2 linked regions of the Saccharomyces cerevisiae S288C genome follow. The protein of the gene in region 1 purifies or fractionates together with the protein of each later gene. This does not show direct contact. Each region holds a gene or a part of one and is shown in the gene's direction. Other genes may lie near its edges.

Evidence for each region. Proteins that work in one complex are often made in the same cells at the same time.
Region 2: the proteins of PUF6 (region 1) and SPB4 purify together in Saccharomyces cerevisiae (affinity purification with mass spectrometry; 5 studies listed by BioGRID, with this or other methods). This does not show direct contact.

The regions. Positions count from the first base shown.
Region 1 is NC_001136.10:1,441,662-1,445,417, reverse strand, and holds the start of PUF6 (Puf6p), read left to right. Parts: upstream 1-2,014; coding exon 2,015-3,756. Other genes in the region: myo-inositol transporter ITR1, read left to right, coding at 1-1,705. UniProt on the Saccharomyces cerevisiae protein: RNA-binding protein involved in post-transcriptional regulation. Component of the ASH1 mRNP which transports the ASH1 mRNA to the distal tip of the bud, where the ASH1 protein is translated and targeted to the daughter cell nucleus.
Region 2 is NC_001138.5:145,179-148,934, reverse strand, and holds the start of SPB4 (ATP-dependent RNA helicase SPB4), read left to right. Parts: upstream 1-2,000; coding exon 2,001-3,756. Other genes in the region: pseudouridine synthase DEG1, read right to left, coding at 476-1,804. UniProt on the Saccharomyces cerevisiae protein: ATP-binding RNA helicase involved in the biogenesis of 60S ribosomal subunits. Binds 90S pre-ribosomal particles and dissociates from pre-60S ribosomal particles after processing of 27SB pre-rRNA.

The DNA.
Region 1 (3,756 bases):
TGGTGATGCCGTTGGCAACGCTGATAGTGTAGAGTTCAACAGTGAGCATGACTCACCTTCAAAGAGAGGTAAAATTACACTTGAGTCACATGAAATACAGAGGGCTCCCGCTAGCGATGATGAAGATAGGATTCAAATTAAACCCGTGAACGACGAGGATGACACGTCGGTCATGATCACTTTTAACCAATCTCTTTCGCCCTTCATCATCACTCTGACTTTTGTCGCATCCATATCCGGTTTCATGTTTGGTTACGACACTGGTTATATATCCAGTGCGCTGATCTCGATCGGCACAGATCTGGACCACAAGGTACTTACTTATGGGGAGAAGGAAATTGTCACTGCGGCTACCTCTCTGGGAGCTTTGATTACCAGTATTTTCGCCGGTACTGCAGCTGACATATTTGGTAGGAAACGTTGTTTAATGGGTTCGAATCTGATGTTTGTCATTGGCGCAATCTTACAGGTCTCCGCACACACATTCTGGCAAATGGCTGTTGGTAGACTGATCATGGGTTTCGGTGTCGGTATCGGCTCCTTGATCGCGCCACTTTTCATCAGTGAAATTGCTCCCAAAATGATCAGAGGGAGACTAACTGTCATCAATTCCTTATGGTTGACTGGTGGTCAATTAGTCGCTTACGGTTGCGGTGCTGGGTTAAACTACGTCAACAATGGTTGGAGAATTCTTGTTGGATTGTCACTAATTCCCACTGCTGTGCAATTCACATGCCTGTGCTTTTTACCTGACACTCCAAGATACTACGTTATGAAGGGCGACTTGGCAAGGGCTACTGAGGTGTTGAAGAGAAGTTACACTGACACTTCGGAGGAAATCATTGAACGTAAGGTGGAAGAACTTGTTACTTTGAATCAATCTATTCCTGGTAAGAATGTCCCTGAAAAAGTCTGGAATACCATCAAAGAATTGCACACAGTACCATCTAATCTAAGGGCTTTGATCATTGGTTGTGGTTTACAAGCAATTCAACAGTTTACCGGTTGGAATTCGTTGATGTATTTCTCTGGTACCATCTTCGAAACTGTCGGTTTCAAAAATTCTTCCGCTGTTTCAATCATCGTGTCCGGTACCAATTTTATTTTCACTTTAGTTGCCTTTTTTTCCATTGACAAAATAGGCCGTAGAACCATATTATTGATTGGATTACCAGGCATGACCATGGCTTTAGTCGTGTGCTCTATTGCTTTCCATTTTCTAGGTATTAAGTTTGATGGCGCTGTCGCTGTGGTGGTTTCCTCCGGTTTCTCCTCTTGGGGTATTGTGATCATCGTATTTATTATCGTATTTGCTGCGTTCTACGCTCTTGGTATCGGTACTGTTCCATGGCAACAATCGGAACTATTCCCCCAAAACGTGAGAGGTATTGGGACTTCATATGCAACTGCTACAAACTGGGCTGGTTCACTGGTTATTGCATCCACATTTTTGACCATGTTACAGAATATCACTCCTGCAGGTACATTTGCCTTTTTCGCGGGATTGTCGTGCTTATCAACCATTTTCTGCTACTTCTGTTATCCAGAATTATCGGGATTGGAGTTAGAAGAGGTACAAACTATTTTGAAGGACGGGTTCAACATCAAAGCCTCGAAAGCTTTGGCCAAGAAGAGAAAACAGCAAGTTGCCAGAGTTCATGAATTGAAATATGAACCAACTCAAGAGATTATAGAGGATATATAGTCCTTTCACGAGGTAAAAGGAAGGAGACGCAATTGAATATTCAAATACATAGTAGAAAATAAATAAAAATAAATTACAAGATAGAAAAAAGTTCATTGTATTTAAGTCGAACTAATTGTTGTATGCATATATAGAAGATTAACTAACCCGGCATTGAAGACCTTTTTTTTTTTTCACCTTGAGAGAAATACTGAAAATTTTTTTTGCTGGGATGAGATGAGATGCCTACCTAAAGTATTTCGAAGGTGAAAGCGTTTTATTATAGAGTACTGAAATAAAGCACAATCAGGAATAACAAATTAACTGACAATGGCACCTTTAACCAAGAAGACAAACGGAAAACGTTCTGCTAAAGAAGTTAGTCATTCAGAAAAGAAATTAGCCAAAAAACCTAGAATTTCTATTGATTCGTCTGATGAAGAATCAGAACTATCCAAAAAGGAAGATGCTGTATCCTCTTCATCAGATGATGATGATTTGGATGATTTAAGTACCAGTGACTCTGAAGCAGAAGAAGAAGCTGACGAATTAGATATTTCCGATGACAGTGAGGAACATGAAAATGAGAATGAAGAGAAAGAAGGAAAGGACAAATCTGAAGGAGGTGAAAATGGAAATCACACTGAACAAAGAAAACTGCTAAAAGAAAGGAAAATGCAAAGAAAATCTGGTACCCAAGTGCAACAAATTAAATCCGTCTGGGAAAGATTGCGTGTGAAGACCCCACCTTTACCAAAACAGATTCGTGAAAAACTTTCCAACGAAATCTGGGAGCTATCTAAGGACTGTATCAGTGATCTTGTCTTAAAGCATGATGCTTCCCGTATTGTTCAAACTTTAGTCAAGTATTCGTCCAAAGATCGTCGTGAACAAATTGTCGATGCTTTAAAGGGAAAATTTTATGTTCTAGCCACATCTGCGTACGGTAAGTATCTATTGGTTAAGTTACTGCATTATGGTTCAAGAAGTTCAAGGCAAACTATAATAAATGAATTACACGGTTCTTTGAGAAAATTAATGAGACATCGTGAGGGTGCCTACGTTGTTGAAGATTTATTTGTTCTTTATGCCACACATGAACAAAGACAACAAATGATTAAAGAGTTTTGGGGCTCTGAATATGCTGTATTTAGAGAAACCCACAAAGATTTGACCATTGAGAAAGTTTGTGAAAGTAGCATTGAAAAAAGGAATATTATCGCCAGAAACTTGATTGGTACCATTACCGCATCAGTAGAAAAGGGTTCCACCGGCTTTCAAATTCTACATGCTGCTATGAGAGAATATGTGAAAATAGCCAACGAAAAGGAAATATCTGAAATGATCGAATTGCTTCATGAACAATTCGCTGAATTGGTGCATACTCCAGAAGGTTCAGACGTTGCTTGTACTTTGGTTGCTAGAGCTAACGCCAAGGAAAGAAAGTTAATTTTAAAGGCTTTGAAAAACCACGCCGAAAAATTGATCAAAAATGAGTACGGTAATATTGTCTTCATTACAATTCTGAACTGTGTTGACGATACAGTTTTAGTATTCAAGACTTTCAGTCCTACTGTTAAGGAACATTTGCAAGAATTCATAATTGATAAGTTTGGTAGAAGGCCTTGGTTATACATACTATTAGGTTTGGACGGTAAGTATTTCTCACCTATCGTCAAGAATGAATTATTGAGATACATTGAACTGTCCAAAGCCACCTCTAAGAAGGATCCTTTACAAAGAAGGCACGAACTTTTGTCAAAATTCGCCCCCATGTTTTTAAGCACTATATCAAAAGATTATTCCAGTATATTGACAGAGAATCTAGGCTGTCAGTTCATTGCCGAAGTTCTAATAAACGATGAGTTGTACGCGCAGCTGAATGAAAAAGACCAAGAAAAGTATCAACAGGTCTTAAACAACATTTTAACTACTTTTAAGGGTGACATAACCGAAGAAGAGCACCCAATACATAGAGCATTTTCTACTAGACTATTAAAGGCACTAATTCAAGGTGGTAAATGGAATAACAAAGAAAAAAAGGTCATACCATTAAAAAATGTTCAAGGCTT
Region 2 (3,756 bases), on another chromosome or scaffold:
ACAAAAATAAGGTCAAAATACATAGTTAAAATTTTGCTTCTTGATAATGAGATGAGGTAATTACAAGAGTTCTGCTTTCCTTCCCAAACAGTTTATTTTATAGTTGGTCTCTATATCAAGTGTTGAGTAAGTAATCGAATGGAAATTACGTACTTTCAACGCAAGAGCAAGACAAAAGAAAGCCTAAAACTGTCTTTTCGTGTCGGTCGTCCAATATCATCGTAAACGTGTGTAGAGCCTTAAATTCTAATTTCTAACTTTAAATTTTTTTTGCTATTATAATACTAATTTCTAACTTTCAACCTATTTTACATCTTCGGAAAACAAAAACTATTTTTTCTTTAATTTCTTTTTTTACTTTCTATTTTTAATTTATATATTTATATTAAAAAATTTAAATTATAATTATTTTTATAGCACGTGATGAAAAGAAATATAGTCTTCAAGGTTATATTATACAGGTTTATATATTATTTTACTTATTTTTGTTGTTCTTTTTCTTGGAGTATTTAGCATTAACAACTTCGACAGGTTCCATAACGCTTCTATCCTCTAGTTTCACATAGGTACCGACTACTTTACCTCTTCCATCGCCCAAATTAATAATTGTCTTTGAGAAGTTGTTTGTATTTGCTGTGGGCAAAACATCTTTAAAAATATTGCATACTGCGGCCTTAAGTTCGTAGTGTAACGTCAATGCTTCAGTAGCTGTCGTGAATTTTATTGCCTTATAGTCATCTACAGTAGGTTCTTGCCAATCCATTTCAGGAAATTTACAATCATATAACAATAATGGTATATCATTTGCCATTTCGTAAACAGGCCTTTGAGGGGTTTTCTCAATATCAGTCAGACGCAAGACAATTTCCGGCACTTCAAGTGATTGACCAACTAAGAAAAGAATGGCCATCATGCAACGAACTTGGTGCCATAGGAATGCTGAACCAACGAGATCAAAACAATAGAAAGTTTCAGAAAGGGGAAGAATTTTTGAGCTTATTATTGTTCGTTTAAAATTGGTAATTTGTTTTGAGCCATCAAGCTTACAAAAATTCCTGAAGTCTCTCTCTCCAACAAAATATGATGCGGCTTTAGACATTTTTTCAATATTAAGGTTTTTTCCATTAAAGATGTACTTATAGTGCCGGTGAACACAGCTGAATCTTGCGTCAAAGTTAGGTGGCGGTCTGAGGCAGACAGCTGATATACGAATATCGTCGGGTAGTAATTGATTTAAAACGTGAACATAGGGTATTTCCCTGCTGTCGTTGGTCGGATCCCGCTGTTCCTCATCTGTTAAATTGGAACGGACTTCTAACGATATAACTTGGTTCATGGCGCTAACTCCCTTGTCTGTTCTGCCACATCTGCTAAATTTATAGTCTTGTAAAACCATCGAGGGAACAAGTTTACACTTATTCATGGCCTCCAAAATGGTACCCTCTACTGTAGGCAACGGTGTGTATTCCTTCTGAACAGCTAAGCCATTGTAATTCCATCCCAAATAGGCAAATCTCAAGGCGATGAACCTGGTATTATGTTTAGAAAAGTCAAACTTCTTCGGAGCCTTTTTCGCCTTGCTTCTCGTAACCTCTTCTTGCGAAATTTTGCGCTTTTTGTTATCCTCGATGTGCTGGAATTTTTCAGAATGTGGCTTATTTGCGTTTTCTAGTTCAGTGATCCTTCGTATTAGCTGCTCTTTGGACCAGTTTGCGTAAATGGAGTCCTTCTTACTAACAATAGCATTGGTACCTGTTGAAATCGCTTTCATTTTCCCAACTAGCCTTCTAATGAAATTACTCATTCAAGGGAGGTTATAGTAGGGCAGTAAAGATTGCATGTGGGCACCTCGAGAATACTATATTATTCTTTATTTTGAGCCGGCTTTTCGCTTTCAAAAATTTTTCACTGAAAAACAAAGTGAGCTTTTCAAGATGAGCTGAGCCCATTGATTTGAGGTGTAGTAAGATAATATTAAAAGCTCAGCAGCAATAAAAACAATGTCAAAGTCATTGGAATGGGATAATCTCGGGTTTTCTTTACTTCCCTGGATAAGGACAGGACTCGATGTTATGGGTTTTGAGACCATGACTCCAGTCCAAGCATCGACAATTCCCATGCTTGCTGGCAACAAGGATGTAGTAGTTGATTCTGTAACAGGCTCAGGTAAGACCGCTGCGTTTGTTATACCTGTACTAGAAAAAGTTGTAAAGGAAGAAGCGAATACATCAAAATTCAAGAAAGCACACTTCCACTCGTTAATTATTGCTCCAACAAGAGAATTGTCACGCCAAATTGAGTCTGTCGTTCTATCATTTCTGGAACATTATCCTTCCGACTTGTTCCCTATTAAATGTCAGCTCCTGGTTGGTACTAATGAAGCCACAGTTAGAGATGATGTAAGTAATTTTCTGCGGAATAGACCGCAGATTCTGATTGGAACACCTGGTAGAGTTTTGGACTTTTTACAAATGCCAGCAGTAAAGACGTCAGCATGCAGTATGGTAGTTATGGATGAAGCAGACAGATTGTTGGATATGAGTTTTATTAAGGATACCGAAAAAATTCTGAGGCTATTGCCTAAACAAAGAAGGACGGGTCTATTTTCTGCAACTATGCGTAGCGCCGGATCAGATATCTTTAAGACAGGGCTTAGAAATCCTGTCAGGATTACCGTTAACTCTAAGAACCAGGCGCCCTCCTCTTTGAAATTAAATTACTGTGTCGTAAATCCTGCCGAAAAACTACAACTTTTGGTTAGCATTTTGAATAACTACAAATTCAAGAAATGTATTGTATATTTTCCAACATGTGTGTCAGTCTCCTACTTCTACTCATTTATCCAGTATTTGGGAAAGAGGAATATTCTCGTGAATGAAGTAGAAATATTTTCCTTGCATGGAAAACTTCAAACATCGGCAAGGACAAAAACTCTAACAGCTTTTACTGATTCGCTAAGTAATTCTGTTTTATTCACAACAGATGTGGCTGCTAGAGGTATTGACATACCCGACGTTGATCTCGTCATCCAGCTTGATCCCCCTACCAATACTGATATGTTCATGCATAGATGTGGTAGAACTGGTAGAGCAAATAGAGTGGGTAAAGCAATTACGTTTCTTAATGAAGGCAGAGAAGAGGATTTTATTCCTTTCATGCAAGTTAAAAATGTGGAACTTGAAGAACTTGATTTGGAAGTAAAGGGCATAACAACAAACTTTTACGAGGACTTTAGAAATTGGATACTAGAAGATAGGGATAGATTTGATAAAGGTGTTAAAGCATATGTTGCCTTTATTAAATACTACTCAAATCATTCCGCAACTTCAATTTTTAGGCTTCAATCTTTAGATTATGTTGGTATTGCGAAATTGTATGGTCTTTTCCGCCTGCCTAGAATGCCTGAGATAACAAAGTACTTAGCCACCGAAAAACAAGAAGGGATTTTCCCAGGGAATTGGTTGGTCGATCCCCCAGTTAATATGGATGAATATAAATACAAGGACAAAAAACGTGAAAAGGAGAGACAAGAAACATTAAAAAATATAAGCCTGATTAATGATAAAAAGAAGCTGAAAAGTGAGTTGAAGAAGAAGAATTTAGCGTGGTCAGATAAAACATTGACGAAAGAACGGAAACTCGAGAGAAAGGAAAAGATGAGTTTAAAAAGGAAGGCTATAGAGGAAGAATTGAAAGCAGAAGAGCTCGATGAAAATGCTGAAGAAGAGCGTATTAAAGAGGATTGGAAAGAAATCG